Lonchura striata: one gene and its partner. The protein of the gene in region 1 binds, or shares a complex with, the protein of each later gene. Links are inferred from orthologs where the notes say so. Each region holds a gene or a part of one and is shown on either strand. Other genes may lie near its edges. The genes, in order: PAXIP1 and H2AX.

The links.
Region 2: the proteins of PAXIP1 (region 1) and H2AX are in contact, whole or in part, in a crystal structure (PDB 3SQD), measured with the Homo sapiens proteins. The link is inferred for Lonchura striata from reciprocal best matches to the Homo sapiens genes PAXIP1 and H2AX. Residues at the interface, in NP_031375.3 of Homo sapiens: Phe871, Thr872, Gly873, Phe874, Pro876, Lys907, Thr909, Arg910, Thr911, Val912, Lys913, Pro986, Glu1050, Leu1053; in NP_002096.1 of Homo sapiens: Gln138, Ser140, Gln141, Glu142, Tyr143.

The regions. Positions count from the first base shown.
Region 1 is NC_134603.1:149,365,237-149,374,322, forward strand, and holds the start of PAXIP1 (PAX-interacting protein 1), read left to right. Parts: upstream 1-5,580; 5' UTR 5,581-5,806; coding exon 5,807-5,896; intron 5,897-9,086.
Region 2 is NC_134625.1:11,115,391-11,122,892, reverse strand, and holds H2AX (histone H2AX), read left to right. Parts: upstream 1-4,948; 5' UTR 4,949-4,966; coding exon 4,967-5,368; 3' UTR 5,369-5,654; downstream 5,655-7,502. Other genes in the region: DPAGT1 (UDP-N-acetylglucosamine--dolichyl-phosphate N-acetylglucosaminephosphotransferase), read left to right, coding at 256-343, 687-842, 1,996-2,061; HMBS (porphobilinogen deaminase), read right to left, coding at 6,442-6,615, 6,825-6,911, 7,480-7,502. UniProt on the Homo sapiens protein: Variant histone H2A which replaces conventional H2A in a subset of nucleosomes. Nucleosomes wrap and compact DNA into chromatin, limiting DNA accessibility to the cellular machineries which require DNA as a template.

The DNA of each region.
Region 1 (9,086 bases):
ATCTCAGAGCAGTACCCAGGCTCACTCTTCACATTGTTCTGTAATATGCTCTGCAATGCTACCAACTTTAGTTGCCTTTTTCTGCATTTATGTAATAAATAATGTAAAAATAAATACAAGTGTTAGTGTTAGTGTTATTTGAATAACAAAAAAAAGGATTTGGCACAAATAATTTGCTCATTTCTAGAAGAATTCAATTTGGTTACTTCATGTTTCATTAGCTTTTTTCAAGCTTGCATGAATGAAAGCCCAGGCTCAAAGGAAAATTTGCATTCTCTATTGTTTTGCTGATACTAATTTACCCCAATGGAAAGCCTGTAAATGATGTTAATCTTGACAAGCTACAAAGAAGGGCTACAGGGATAATTACTCACCATATTTCGCCAACATTTTTTTCTCGAACTCAGATAATACACAGAAATTGGTAGGTACCTTAGCTGGAGCAGAAGCAAGGACTCCTCTTGAGGTGCAAAGAATGGAGTCTATAAATTATAGTATCACATTTTATTTGTGGCAAATTATTTGTTCTTTCCCAGAGCACTGGGAAGACTTGCATTCTTCTTTCCTGGTGCAATACAATTCAATATTCCTCTCCAATACAATCAGGTCCAAAACTCATTAAGAAAGTGCTATAATGTTTTATATATGTGTATCTATAAGTAAGTATGTATGTAATTTTACGTATTAATTATATGTAACTTATATAGAGGTGGTTATTGGCAGTCTGAGGGAAAGACAGAAACAATTTATTTGTAAAGGTGAATGAACCTTTCACATTCCTAAGCAGGTAACAAAGGACTATATCCTCTCTTTTACCACTATGTCTCACTTCTGACAAAATTATCCTTACATTAAGTTGTGCTAATCAAAATATTTTCCCCTCTGCTCCTTTATGCTCAGTTATAGTAAAGGTAGAACTTGCTACTTGGCACTTGCAAAGAAAGTTGTAACTATTATATTAAAAAAGAAAACTGTCAAGCAAATGACAAGGGATTCTCAGTGCAGTTCTGGAATTAGAAGAGAATCAAAAATGAAACTACCAGTTCCAAGGGAGCCTTTTAGGATTCAGCGTTGCTGTACAGATAATAAGAAAGTTTTTAATTATAAATCATATTTGCCGTTGCAAGCAGTCCCACTGAAGGAAAGAGGAAAAATGCATAGACAGCTCAAGCCAAAATAGAGCCCTCTGTGTACCTGTTTTGCACATTTTGATTCTGATTAAAAAGCAGATTTTATTCACATTAAGAAATGGGAATGGAGATAATGCAGGCAGCATGCCTTTAGAGATTTTCAACAACTTTCCAGGCTCACTGAAACTAACATCAGCTTCTGTGAAACCCTGCTTACTTTGTGAAAATATATTTTGTTGGAAAAGTAACATCTAGAGACCCAGCTGCTACCAAACAAGTATGTATTATTAACAAAGGACTAAGAAAGCCTTCTGCTCACAGGAGTAAAACAAATATACAATTTAATCTAAGCTTCAAATTTAATTAATAAGATAAAAAAATCAAGCTGTTGTTTTTTTCACAAGCAATTACGCCTAAATATGATATTGTAGGTGCATATGAATTTTTCATATAATCATTTGTGCACACAAATAAGGCATTTATGTAAGCATGCACAAATCTTGTCAGCTTGGTGGGCTTTCACCTCGTGCAAGCAACACACAATACAAAATTGAGATCATAGTTCTTCTGGAAACATGCTCATGAAGTTCTCTGTACAGAGCTCTTGTAGTTTAGAGATCAGAGGAGTCTTTCTGGCACAGATAATGGATTGCTCACATCCTTGTGGACTCTGGTGATGACATACAACATGTACATGGCCCGTGTGACATCAGCTCAGAGCAACAGGGACAGCACCGATGGCCTTACCCTGCTCACCCTCTGTGGACAATTTTGAGGCCCTGTGTGGTACCTTGGCTTGGGTTCCTGTGGGAGATGGATTTGTAGAGAGTTCTTAGGGCCTGGCAGAAGGCTCACACAGCATCCATCTGTAAACCTTGAGATAAGAAATGTTGATTTAGAAATGCTATGCTAAAATGCCTCTCAGTTGTCCCATCAGGAAAAGAGTATTGTCCGACAGGTTCCCACCCACCTGTCTGCCCCTGTGCCCATCTGGCTTGTGGAGAAGGACCCTTGGTGGGCTGATGGTCCCTGGGATGGGCTGGAAGCAGCTGGCAGAGGAGCTGGGCTCTCCCTCCTTCCACTGTCACTCAGCTCGTGCAGATGAGCTTTATCTCATAACCTGACAAATCCATTTGAGGCTAAATACAGGCAAGCACTTTGCTCTGCACCTGGGCAGTGAGACCAGCCCAGTGATTTGACTTAGTTCTGTGTGCTGACCTGTGAGCAGAAGCCAGAATTTATTTCTGGCAAATTCAGGGGATATTTTTCTTCTTCAATAACATATTTTTTGTGTTCAAAAACATACTTTTTCCATCTTGTTTTCTGCTCTTATGGCCTGGAAACAAGATCATACACGTGATGCAAAACCAGAGCTATTAATTTTTGTTAGAAATAGTCTAATTACTAGAATTTAAATAATTTCTTGACAGGTGACTCATGAAATACATAAAGAAGTAAAAAAATATGTTCATTAATTTAATTCCACTGCTTACTTAGAAGGTACTTAAAGGGAAAAACTTGTGACTCATGAGAGTAGTCTTTTTGTCTGGGAGTGATCATTTTGAAGACAAATTTTGAATAAAGAAAGCTATATTTTTAGTAGCACTGATGATAATACAACAGCCTCTCTGTGCAATCCAGTACTGAGATCTACAGAATTTCTTACTGGGGCCATTAGAACTCTTTAAACTGCTAGCAGGCAGGTTTTCTGTAGGGTTGTTGCTGTGCATCGTTTCATGGCACAGAATGGAAACTCCCCTGCTTTGGCTGTGCTGCCTGGCATCTGCTCCTGAGTTGGGCAGGATTTTCCAAGTTCTGCTTTCACCAGCTCTGGGGCTCTGTCCAGGAGCTGCTCCCAGTGCTTATTCATTTTGGGGAGGGACTTTGCCTCAGCAAAGTTATTTTTACTCCAGTCAGGAAGAGGAGGACAGACCCAAAAGTCCATGTCCCATGTCCCAGGTAGGCAACAACAACTTTCTCTATGCTATACAGGATCAAATTCATAAAACAGTTTTCTTCTGGTAACCCTATTATAGTTAATTCTTAACCTTTCTTTTTTTTTCACATTTCATTACACTTCCATACTGTGGATGGAACCACACTTTATTCTTGGCTTTTTACCATAATATTATTAACCATTAAAAACAATTATTTACCCTTAAGGATAATTACACTTACCTTTATGAATGGGTACTCTTTATTTGTGAAAAATTGATTTTGCAATGAATTTCAATGATTTGACACATTAATCCGACCTTCTATTTCAGGAGAATTTCAAAATTGCTGTGATTTAAAATGGAAAATCCATCTCATATTCTTCTGATTTGACTAGCTGAGCAAATGAAGATCCAAGGTGGTCCCACCCAATGCTGCAATAGCTGCAACTGCAGCTGAAAGTTTGAAAAATGTGTGCAGGTTGTTTGCATTATGTTTACTGCCAGTATTAGCATAATTTCAAAACTCCTGTTTTGAAATACTTGTAATCTTAAGAGTTTTTCAAAAACCCGAAAATTATGTGACTCTGGAAAACCCAAAGGACAGGAGGGCTGGAGGAACTCATTAGAGTAACAAAGAAAATAGGCAGAGAAGGGAAATCAAGAGGACAAACCCTTGGAGGAGAAATCTTTGGTTTTCTTTGTGTGGAGCAGGAATATGTGATAGTGTAGGGACTTAGATATAAGGAAAGTATTCCTGTGGGAAAGGGAAATTTCTCAGTGATCACACTGAGAAAGATGAATCTAAGTAAAGAATGACATCAGGAAGAGGAAAGAACTCAGAGAAGAACGTGGAGTAGAAACCTGAGAGATAGCTATATCTGTCAAAGAAAATAAGTGAAAATTACCAGTGCTGGAAGATGCAGATTATTACAGAGACAATGAAATCCAACAGGAAAGGAAGCTCAGGAAGCAGTAGTGTTAATGAAATCTGATAGATTAAGGAGAATATGAAATATATATTGCTGCAGGATTTTGGTCAAAGTGGTTCAGTTTAATGTGAAGAAGTGAAAATGGATCAAAGACGGAGTTGGAAAGAGTGAAAATTATGGAACTAAGAAAGCAAAGGCTGGACATGGCTATAAAGGAAAGCAGAGCTCAGAGAAGTCTTTTCAAAGGCAGTCCAAGACATACATGGCACAGAAGAAAATTAATCTAAACAAGGATTATTAGACAAGATAGGAAGTAAGATGAGAAAATGAATTGTTGAAAGAAAGAGAAAATATGTTTAAAAGCAGATGGTTATTTCTACTTTTTTTTCCTGCCCCATAACAAAAAAGTGTACCATATAAAAAAAGTTAAGGAATTTTTGGTTTGATTTTCGCTTTAAAAAGTAAATTTGATTGGGAGGTAGGGAAAACAGTTAAAACTTTCAACCAAGTGTTCTTTCTGGAGTAGAAAAAGAACTGGTGATAGGTTGGGTATTTCTTTCATAATTGGAATAGAAAGGAGACGATGTCATGTGGAGATCCAGGGGATTTGGGTGAAGCCTATAACCAGTAAAATATTGTCCAGTAAAAGTAAATAAATGACTGGGAAACCAATTTATGTTTCTACCATGGTTTCAAGAATCACATAGGTAAGAAAAATAGTTTCCTCCTGGGGAAGTGGGACAGGCCTTGCAGGCAGGAGGGTAACAGTATTTTTATTTTTACAGGTGCCCTGTATTTTTATTTCACTAAGTCTTTCAATGCCATCTCTTAACATTGCTCTGAGTGTGGGAGGGAGTCATTGTCCACTTCAAAGTATTACGAGGATGTTCAAAACTCTTTTGGAAAGCTGAGTGCTTATTATATAGATAAAATGATATATTATCTAATATTTGTATTTTAAACATCCTTGTCAATGCAGCACTGTTTAAAATATATGACATGAAGCAGGCTCTGAAAGTGCTCGTTTCTTTCTGTTGACTCCAACCTATAGAAAGTAATAATAATTGTTTTCTGTTACCTAAAATAGGTAAGACACATCCCCCTCTAGGTGGGAACGCTTCACTATCAACGTAGATGGATGCTTTGCAGTTTCTGAGGGAAAATACTTTATTTCGGTGGGGCTCGATGACCTTAGAGGCCTTTTCGCACCGTAGCTCTGATTTCGGGAGCAGTCGGTAGGTTCACACATGAGCTGGCCGGTGGAACAGACCCACGCATTGGCGGGCGCTGGCTGCGAGGGGCCGCGCCGCCATCGCCCGCGTCCCCTCACGGCGGGGCCGAGGGCGGGGCCTGGGCGCCCCGGGGCGGGGCCAGGGGTGGTTGCCTTCCCTCCCCCGCCAATGGGCGGGGCCGGGTATCCCCGCTGCCCGCCTCTGTCGTTCGGGGCGAGTCCATTGCATCCCGCGCGGGGGGAGCTGCGGACCCGGATGCTGCCTGCCGGTCCGGTTCGGGGAAAGAGGGAGGAGCAGGGATAGCGCCTGTGGATCAGAGGCGGGCGCGGCCCTGCAGCAGCCGTGGTGGCTGATCGGGCGGGGGGAGCCGCTTTGCGGGGGCGGCTCTCCCCTCCCCCTTCCACCCCCCCTACGTCCCGGTGGGGGATGGTGTGTCCCGCAGCGCGCGCCTTGCTCGCGCGGTTCGGCGGCTCTGCGGGGGGAGGGGGACGGGAGAGACCCGGGCCCCGGCGGGTTTCGCACGGTGAGCGCGGGGAATAGCGGGCAGGGGGGAGCGCCCGCTGCTGCCGTCCGGGACCATGTTGGCGGACGACGAGGAGGAGCTGAAAGTCCCGGAGGAGATGTTCAAAGACGTCAAGTTCTTCGTGGTGGGAGACATCGACCCCAAGGTACCGGGTCATCCCTTCTTATCATTCCCGCCTTCCCTTTCGTCTCCCCCCCATCCCGACGTGGGGGGGGGCACAGTGGAACCGTCCGGCTACCGCGCGCGGGCTCGAGGCTCGCGCCGCCTCACGGGGAAAGGGCGGGAGCGGGGGGAGCGCGCGCCTGAGGGACCGGGCGGGATGGCTGAGGGGGGGAGGGGAGGCGGCCGGTCCAGATCCCGGCCCCGATCCCGGCCCCGATCCCGGCTGTGCCCGCGGGAAGCGCCGCTGCCGCCGCCATGGGAGCGGCGGCCCCGCCGCGCAGGCCCCGCCGGAGCCGCCTGAGCGGAGGAGGAGCGGGCGGAGGGACTTCCTGTGCTGAGCCGGGCCGGGCCGGGCGGGCAGCGGGGGCAGCGGCCGGCGCTCCTCCGATTCGGGCGCTCCGCAGGCCCGGCCCCTCCCTGTGCCCGGTTCCGTACGGGTACGCAGGGACGGGCCGTGGGGAAGGCTGGTCACGGCGGGCCGGGCTGGCTCTGCCCTCCCACACAGACCTTCCCGCCTTGGCGCGGCCCCGAGCCCGGACCCGCTACCGCCCCGGGGCCGCCGCTGCGGGGCTGCTGTGGGTTAGGCCGGGGGCCGCCCGCCCCTCTCGCCCTGGGCAATGCAGGTGGCCTGGCCGTGAGTAACACCCGTGGTGGGCGAAGGTGGTTGAAACAAAGTTTTGTGGCTTGTCCAATTAGATGCTTGAAATGCAACCTGCGGAGGTTTAGGACAGCGGCTTCCTGCAAGCAGGTTACTGCCTGCTTCACGCTGAAGTTAAAGTTCTTTGCCTCTCTGGTAGTTGCTGTAGTAAAGTCTTAGTTCAGTGTTGGTTTCCTTTATCATCCTGTCCTGACGCTCACTAGCTGTGTCCTGGAGGCACAGTCACTGGCCTGTTCAGATGGATTTCATTCCTATTGTGCTAAAATAAATACAGTCTAGGAAGAATGCAGTTGACAGGATGAAAACTTCTTTAGACAGGTTTCTAGATATAAAACTTAGTTCTTTAGGCATTAGGTCTTTAGAGATAAATTTTTTGATAGTGGGTTAGCACTCAACAGATTCCTGTACTTACCAAAAAACCCTACAGCAGCAGTTAGTATTATGTGTATGAGGGTGAGTGCAAAAATCCTGTAGCACTGTTGTACATAATTTGTCATTGGAGTAGTGTCTTGAAAAGCCTGTTTTAGTCATGTGTTGACATGGGAGGACAATTAGCAGATTTTCCATAGAGCAAATAGACAAGCATTCTCTTAAATTGGTTTTCTTTCTCATGCTAAATTTTATTGTTCTTTGCAGTCAGAGTCATTGTCATAGAGCTTTGATATGCTCCAAATTTGGTGCATTGAATGTTCCTCTGCCTGGCTTGGAGGCTGAGCCCGGTCAGAGTGAGGAGCTGGGCTGGGCTGAGCTCGGGGCCAGCTCCTGGGAGAACCCTCTGTACCGGCTTCAGCCCAGCTGGCAGCTAAGCACAGCACAGCTGCTCTCTCACCCCCACCCCTGAGCAGTGTAATGGGGAGGACATTCAAAAATTAAACTTACAGGTTGAGATATAAAAGCAGCTTAATAATTGAAAACCAGGTAATGGTAAATAATTGAATACAATGGTAATGGTAAATAATAATGCTAAGAAAAAGGGAAATAAAGGAAACCTTAAGCAAGTGAGGCACAATACAGTTGCTCACCGTGCACTGACTGATGCCAGACATCATTCCTGACCCCAGATCAGCCCTTCTTATGGGTAACTCCCCCAGTTTATATAGTGGGCATGACTTGCTTTGGTGTGGTTGGCCAGTTTGGGTCACCTGTCCAGGCTGTACTCCCTCCCAGCCTATTTTATAACTCCTTACTGGCAGAGGAAATCACAAAAAAAGTAGTCCTTAGGATAAACACAACTTAGGAAAAACCAAAACATCAGTGTGTTACCAACATTATTTCCATTCTGAATCCAAAACACAGAACCATGGCAGCTACAGAGAATAAATTAACTTTATCCTTGCTGAGACCAGGACACCCTCCTGTGGGTGTCCTCTGTGGTACCCTGGGACACCTGAGTACGAGGAGCGTTTATCAGGTGTGTTTTGAGCCAAGACAGAATACAGAAATTGTAAACCAAACTCAATCAGTTCTTAGAGTGAAATTTGTCCCATGACAAATAAAAAAGTTACAAATATCTTTGGCACTTTTTACTGCTTCACATACAGGTGGATGCCAGCTTGATTTTGCAGAGAATTTCCTCCTTCATCTTCTGGGAAGGAGCACACTTTGATCAACTTAAATTTCTAAATAGTTTCACAGAAAACCAGTTACTGTAATAAATATTAAAACACCTAGCACAAGTGAGCATGCTAATCAAAACAGATTCAAGAGTAAGAAGAAAAAAAGTAATTTTTTTTCAGGTGAATAACTGCATACCTACATTAAAGCATGTGCAGCATAAATTGGAAGGGAAGCAAAAGTCTGGAGTTGTGCCGAGGTGTTCTCTGGCACATGGAGGAGTTAGGTTGGCTCTCAGCTCCAAACCCATTCCACTCCATTGGGTGCATTTTGCTCCTCACACCTTACTGAGAGTGATGAGAAGATGTCAGCTCCTCTTTTTCTTTTAATAAATGCTCTTTCTGCTTTCCTCAAATATAAAATCCCAAACCATCATGTTTTGGAAACACCAGTTAAAATCAATATTTGCTTCAGAAAGAGATAAAAAGTAATGCAACACAGCACAAGGTCTTTGAACAGGATATTTGGTTTTGGTTATCTTGTTTAATTTATTTTTATATGCCCATTGCCTTACTTCTTAATTTTGAACTATTCCTCTTGTTTCTTCCAACCCAGATTTTAGTGGGAGAGAAAGATAAAATTTTTATTCCTCCCCTCACCAAAAAAAAAAAAAAATATTGGATATAAACTAATACTTAAAATGCAGGATTTTTACATATTTTACATATTTTTAAATTATGTGTTCATATTAAGGCTTTTCAGCATTATGTTTTCTAGTTACAGGTGTATGGTTGATATAAATGTAAATGAGTTCTTTAATTGTGCCAACACAACTTTTCAGTCCAGGCACTACTTAATCTGTAGAAGTTGTGTATTTTAAGTGGAGTTTTGAAGTTTACGGGACCTAAATTAGGATGAGTCTTTTTTCATGACACATAAAATAATCAAGTGCATTATTATG
Region 2 (7,502 bases), on another chromosome or scaffold:
AGTTCTATCTGCAGATATTAGATTCTTCTGTTTTATTCTTTAAACTACAAAACATATATTGGAGGTGCAATGGGAAGGAGTCTTCTTTGCCCTACTTGAGGGGCTAGATACCAGCAGCTGTTTTTAAGTGCATTAAGGTTATTCCTGTTTTTTCCACCACTGGGTTTCTTTCTCAGCTATGGGTCTAAGTCTGCTTACAAAGTGATCTCTCATCTCCTTGTTGCATCTGGACTAAATTTTAAATGTTTCTTTTAGGCTTAATCCTAGTACAGGGAAGTTGGAGATGAGCTACTCCAAATTCAAAACTAAGAACCTCTCTGTCCTGGGAACAAACATTCTGAAGGTAATTTGTGGAAATTACAGATGCATTTTGAGGCAGTCATCAACTGCAAGAGAAACAGGGCGGGAGAAAATGCAGAACTTCTGGGTTCAGTAGTTACTGCCTGGTTCACATCTAGAAGAAAGTCTCTTACCATCTCTCATAGTCACTCAGTTTTGTTAAAAATCAGTCTTTCAGAATAACCACACATAGAAGTGCCCCAGGACCATCATATGTCTGTCCTGTCTTTTCAGTTAGAGCACAACCAAGATTTCAGGGCTGGTGCAGCAAAAGGGCTCTTGAGCAAGACTAGCCAGTGATCACCAAAAATACCTGGTGAAATAGCATGCAATACTTCTTTCCTCAGGTAGTCAAGATCTTGCACATAGTGGATGTGAGGAGTGGAACAGATGAAGATGGCGAATACACCGAATGCAGTAATATGACACTTATTAATTTTGTCATAAAGCTGATCGGACCCACCCACGAGCGAAATCTCACTCTCCTGTTGCTACTCATTCAGGTCAGACAAAGGGTTCCTACAGTAGAAAGATCTACTCTGCAGTAGAAACAGATCCAAGTCAGTCTCAAGAGTTTTAAGGGGAAAGTAAAATACTGTGCTCTTCACACAAGGTGCAGTTGAGCTGTGGAGCTTGAGGGGAGAATGAGAGGCTTACATACCTCAAGGAGAAAAGAAATCCACACACAGCTCTCTGTTCACTGAGAGCTTATAAAAAAAAGTCAGGAGGTTAGCTTAAGAAGATTCCCAAAGCACGAGTAATTGATTCCAAGGAAAACATGAGCACAGCAGAGTGCCTTGTCACTCTTGCTCAAGACAGCCTTTTGGTATGTCCTGTTTTTCAGTAATACCAAGTAACAGTCTCAGAGTTGTCACCAGCAAGTGGGCTTCTGTAAGCATGGCACACGGCTCAGCAGTTTCTCAGTCTGAGGGGCATGTGGGAGCATTTGGAAGCCACTTGGAGCATAAGGATATGCTTCACAGATCTTGCCACTGCCTCTATTCAGCATGTGAATTTTTGAGCATAGTGTAGTAAAAACATCACTTTTTGGAAAGGCCTGCATTGATTAACTGCCCACAATAAAATCCTTCTTTTCATCTTCAGATTTAGGATAAGGTATTCTTACTAGGAAAGAGACAGGCAGTTTCTGATTTGAGAGGAAAAACTTGCAATGAAAGCCTGTTGAGGGCTCAGGCAGATGACATCGGGGATGGGAGAAGACAGGAAGTACATAGCACTTACCCAGTCACAGCAGAGAAGTCCAGACAGCACCTTATAGTAAGGATGCTGAATTTCAGCTTTGACATAAGGTATTTTCTAATACAAACCACGGGGTTTATGTTACAATACAGGCTCCTTAAGGGAGAAGGAGTTACTCCAACTTTTATCTCATCCACGTGTTCTTAGAATGTGATTGTGTGCAGGAACATGGAGAAATCTCCCACTGATATCTAAAATCATCAGAGAAAGAAACAATGTCTTTGGTTGGCCTGCCATTTATCTTCCTATACCTAAAAGAAGTAGCCTTTTAGTTGCTCTTTTATGAAACAAGGCATACTGGAAAGTTTAGCAAATCCATTTGGAAAAGAGGAATCTGACAGCCTGTAAACCATTTGACAGTATAATGTTTCTGTTATGTGTCTGATTTTTACCTAGGTCCTTGGCAGCACGATTGCATTTTCAATCCGGTACCAACTAGTGCGCTTGTTTTATGATGTCTGACTGGACTGTTGGGAGCAAGGGAAAGAGTTCTACCTGCCATCTCCTCCAGTTGCTTGACCAAATGATTCAACTGATGTTGCTCCTGCCTTCTGGGATCCTCAGAATACCTGTCAAAATGCAAGCAACTGCTTTGCATGGGCTAGTTTTGAACCAGGATGTTCTTTGTGCACCAAAGGCTTTTGTCCAATTCTGTGGTAGAAAAGATTCACTGCTACTTGGACATCGGTGTTATTAAGAATACATTTTAGAGGGGAAGCAAATGACAGCACTTAGGGAAAGTGGGAAAGATGGAATCTCTATACATCTAGCAAAGTCATTACTGTTCACCAAGAGAGAAAACAGCAACTTTAATTTCTGTGAGGAAAATAAGGAAACCAGACTCCGTTCCTGGCTTCTCAATCCTGTTTTTGGTCCATGGACATAGAATGACATGTTATAACCCATACTCAAAGCTCAGAGTGCTCCAAGAATAAAACAATTCATGGTACCCTTTCCCCTGCAGTGCTTTGCCTCGACAATATTGACAGGCAGTGAAACTAGGTTATATCCATCTGTAGCTTTCTACCCTCTTAGGCAGTTGATCATTTCTGCAGTGGACTCCCTATTTTTTATGGCTACTGGAAATGTTCCTGCTGATGAGGTTTTAATTCTGAATACCTTTATAGTCTGCCTTCCTCCCTGGAAGAGGACATGCTAGCAGAGTGAGGATCACCACATCCTTGTCTTAAGAGGGAATCAATAGATCCTTTATTAATGTAGAACTAAGGCCCTGATTGGCTAACTGCCAATCCCTTTTCCTCGATTACAAATAGCTACTTATAGAGCAGTATTTAGCACCAGTTGAACACAGAATTGCTACAGAAAAAACATAGAACAGCCATTGGGGTACCAGATTATAGTCTTTGCACCTCCCAACACCCAAGTTCGGCTAGTAACAAGGCTTGGAATGCATTACCAGAAGGCAAAAATGCCTGTGTCCAGCAGCACTGATCAACACAGAAAACACACAGCACTCAAGTATGAATGGTACAAGTGGCTGAAGCCTCTTCCTTCCCTCCAGCAGATCAGTTTGTAAGTCTACTAGTACAGTGTATTCATCACCACATCCACATAGACATCATGAAATTGAAATGAACAGGGTCCATGCCTTTATTAGTGTTCAGCTCTATTAAAAAGTCAGCTCGGCACAGGGGTGGTGTAGCTTCTTCCGGTAGCCGAAGGGTGAGAAGGCTGCAGAGTCTGTCCCTGGAGTGGCACGCTGGTAGCCGGAGGTGCAGAGGTGTCCAGTCTGTATCTGAAGTCCCAGCAGACCATCCTCTCTCCTTTCCTCCGAAGGCTGGGGGGATGTGCAGAGCCTGCTGCTAAGGTCCAGCAGCAGCTATCCCCCTCCTGCCCTCCTGGTAACACCAGGTAAAGTGTCTGATTCCTTGTGCCTGCTTCCCACAGCCCAGTCCAATCTGGTCCTCAGCAGGTCATGGTGACAGGTCAAACACAGACTAGGGATGGGCTTCCCTTTTCCCCAACCAGCACACCCATCCAGCCCCCTCCACTGTGCCCCTCTTTTACATTTAGGGGTGTTTTTCATCCCCAAAACCCCCTCCCATGATTCCACTGGATTCTTCTGCATCCCAGTCCTAGTTTGGGTGGGGGTGTAGGTGATTCCCAGGAGCAATTGGGTAATTAACATTTCAATGTCAGTACTTAGTTCGAGCCAAGTGTCCCAGCCAGGCTGTTTTGTTCATAACAAAATCATTCAGTTCCTGGCCTTAAACAGTCTGTCCAGTAACCAGCTGCTAGATTTCCTGGTATCAAGGAATATGAACAGAGAAATCTCTCTGCTAGCTGACCTAGGAATGTGGCCTTCCAATAGGTACTTCTAGGACAGCCACTCCATTTTCCTCAGAAAGTTGGCTTACCTCCAGTAAGCATCCTGCTGCTCCCGTATCTGGTCCTGGGCTCCAAAGCCCATTATCCTACTTGCTGTCTAGGTCTTGCTCCTTCGCTAGGGATGACTCACACTTGCATTCCACCTAGCCCTGGGCCCTTCCTGCATGTGCTGAAGTCTTCCCATTTTCTGGAACGACACTGGCTGCTCTGATTTGTGTCCTAATCCTAGTTGCTGGCAACTGGACCTCCAGAGGCACACAGCATAGACAGTCTGCTCACTCTGGGGGAAAAAACATACAAGTTGGGTTAATTAAGACAGCACAGACTGCAGAGATAATTCTTACTGATCAGCAACATTTTAAAACATTACCACTTTCTTCACTTTTATTTTTCCTTCAATGTTCCCATGGGTTTTTTTCTCCTAGTCCACTTTGACTCCTCACTCTCCTTTGGTGCTTCTCTTAATATACCTGTATTATAAACCCATGATGTATCTCACACATTGACAAAAGGATCTCATGGTAGGTTTTTTCATATCCCTAACTGTTCTTCCCCCCATGTGCCACCCTAAGGTAAATGCCCAACAGACAGGGATACCTTTCAGTCTGTAGGCATCCCGGGAGCCCCTCTACCTTGCCCTGGGTGGAAGCCAGGCGCAGGGACTGTCCCCAGCCCTCATAAAGCACGGTGCGCCCTGAGGGCGGCACGAGAGGCGCGGAGGGACCGGCGGCAGCGCGCATGCTCGCTGAGGGCCGGCGGCAGAGCCCCAGCGATCGCTCGGCGTGGTTTAAATTTGGCGCCTCGCTTGCTGATTGGCCGGACCACGCGGCCAACACATTCAGAGCAAGCGCGTTGGTATCACAGAAGCGACCAGTCAGCAAAAAGCTTCTTCCGGCAAACGCACCAATAGCTAGGGGCGGCGGCGCTGTCCAATGAGCTGGCCCCTACTTGGCGGGAGGTTATAAAAATCCCGGCCGCGGCCTCCCGGGCGCATCGGTTCAGCAGCGCGGCGAGCGCCATGTCCGGCCGTGGCAAGAGCGGCGGCAAGGGCCGCGCTAAGGCCAAGTCTCGCTCGTCCCGGGCCGGGCTGCAGTTCCCGGTAGGGCGCGTCCACCGACTGCTGCGGCGCGGGCACTACGCAGAGCGGGTGGGGGCGGGTGCGCCCGTGTACCTGGCGGCCGTGCTCGAGTACCTGACCGCCGAGATCCTGGAGCTGGCGGGCAACGCGGCTCGCGACAACAAGAAGACGCGCATCATCCCCCGTCACCTGCAGCTGGCGGTGCGCAACGACGAGGAGCTCAACAAGCTGTTAGGCGGCGTTACCATCGCGCAGGGCGGCGTCCTGCCCAACATCCAGGCTGTGCTGCTGCCCAAGAAGACCAGCAAGAAGGGCAGCCGGCAGCAGTCGCAAGAGTACTAGGCCGGCCGGCCCTCCCGGCACAATTCAAAGGCCCTTTTCAGGGCCACCTCATTGCTCACTGGGAGAGCTGCGATCCGCGGAGGAGGCGGGAGGAGGGCAGGGCGCGAGAGGCGTGGCCGGCCGCGGGGAGCTGGGCCGGGGGGAGCGGGCAGTAACCGGCCCGGGGTCAGTCAAGACACTGAGCCTGAGAGCTGCTCAGTAAGGAGCCGTTATTTTCATTCCTACCTACCTCTGGGACATGCAGTGGACGTTGTCTGGAAAATAAAACTTTATTTACAAAACAGGACCCCCGGTGCTGTTACAGTATTTCTTCAAGGCACTGTAACAATAAAATCCTGCTCAGAGGATGCTGACCCAGTAGCAAGAGCAGGAAGCCAGTGTCTGGAATCTGGGCTTCTGCTTCAGCTCCCCCTTCATAGGCAAGTCTAGCTAATTGGCTCTCGTGACCTTTGTGGATAAACATACAAGGGAAGCCAATCTAGCTAGTCTAATATATATGTGTATGTATGTATTGTATCAATCTAATACCACCCAATTGGCTAGTATAATGGTGAACGTAATTAGCCTTTGCCAAGACCAAGGGTGAATGTAGCATCTCTGCTCCTTTACTATAAGGAACATGCTATCAGGAATCTAATGGGAACCTTTGGTGATCCAGTGAGTGAAAAGGCCCAGATAATGACTCCCGAAAACACTCAGCACAGTACGGCATTTTAGTACCAGCGCAGTTGTGTATCCGATTATAACCCAACAGGCACTCTGCTCCTAAATGGAATTGAACACTTAAAGGCTTTTATTTTATTTTTAATTTTTTTCTTTCAGTTCTCTAGCTACAAAAGTTGTTGACAATACTTCATAAAGACGCTTAACAATTTAGAGAAATGTGGAGAGGGATAAAAACTCTGAAGAGCAGAAACTACTTAAGTTAGTTAGCTTCATATTTCAAGTTTTTTGCACCCAAATGTCAGGCAAGACTGGTGTGAATGTTGAAATAAATCCCTCCAGAGGATCATGATGCAGCTGCACAGACTTGTAGCTAGAATTGTAGCACTCCTGCTGGCCACACCCCAAGTTCAGCGGGCATCATTGAGCTGCCTTGCCACGCTAAGGATATGCTTTGCTCCCTTGCTCAGAAGTAAACTAGCTAGTTCAACACCCAGGTTCTCTGCAGCTTCCTGGGCCTGACCAGGAACATTCTTGGCTGTGATGCCAACATGCTGCACATCATCATTTGGTCCATCTTCATTCTGCAAATACGAACACCTCAAAGTAAGGCAGCAGGAAAACAGTAGGCAAGGAATTAAGATGCTCATGAAAAACCTAGTCTGAAGAACCTCAAGAACAGTGTGCTGTTACAGCTGACAAGAAAACAGACCAAATATAATCCATTTCTAAAGGCCAGGTTTTTGTCATTTAGCTTCAGGTTTGAATTTCGAAGGCACCGTAATTCCCGTACCTGATGGGGATAACTAACACCGGTCTGCATGGTCTCCTTCAGGCTATCAGATCCATCCAAGCTGTAGACTGCTCCTGTCAAATACAACTTAGAAAATACACAGAATGGATTATTACCACATTAACAAACAAGCAGCCAACTACCCCCTCTTTAAAAAAAACACCCAATATACAAAGCTAAGTCTGTTGGGAAGGGCTTTTGTCATGCAGTGGGATCAGCATGAATAGTGGTATAATACAAGAAAAGTATTTCCTGTTAGGGAAGATACGAAGATATGACTTCTCAAGGAAAATGCCAAAGTTCTTTTCTAATTTCCCACCTCCTTATCCACATTCCACTGTCTAAAAACAAGTTTGGTAGGGTCAAAAGCAATACTTTCAGACCTCAGGACAGCATGAAATAAGCAGCAGGGGTGGAGAGGGGAATCTGGTATAATATTTAAGGGAATTTTCTGAAAGACAGCTTCAGTAGCTTGACCCATTCTTGCACTCCTGCTTTGGACACAAACACAGAAGGGTCAAGTCAGGAGACTATCTGCCCTACCTGGTTATAAAGATACCTGCTGAAATTAGCTTCAGGAAAAGATATGGAAACATGCACACACTTGGAAAAGGTTTTCAGAAATAATCCATGAAAAATACAAAGTACTCCTCACCTGGCCATCCTTCAGCAGGGTGT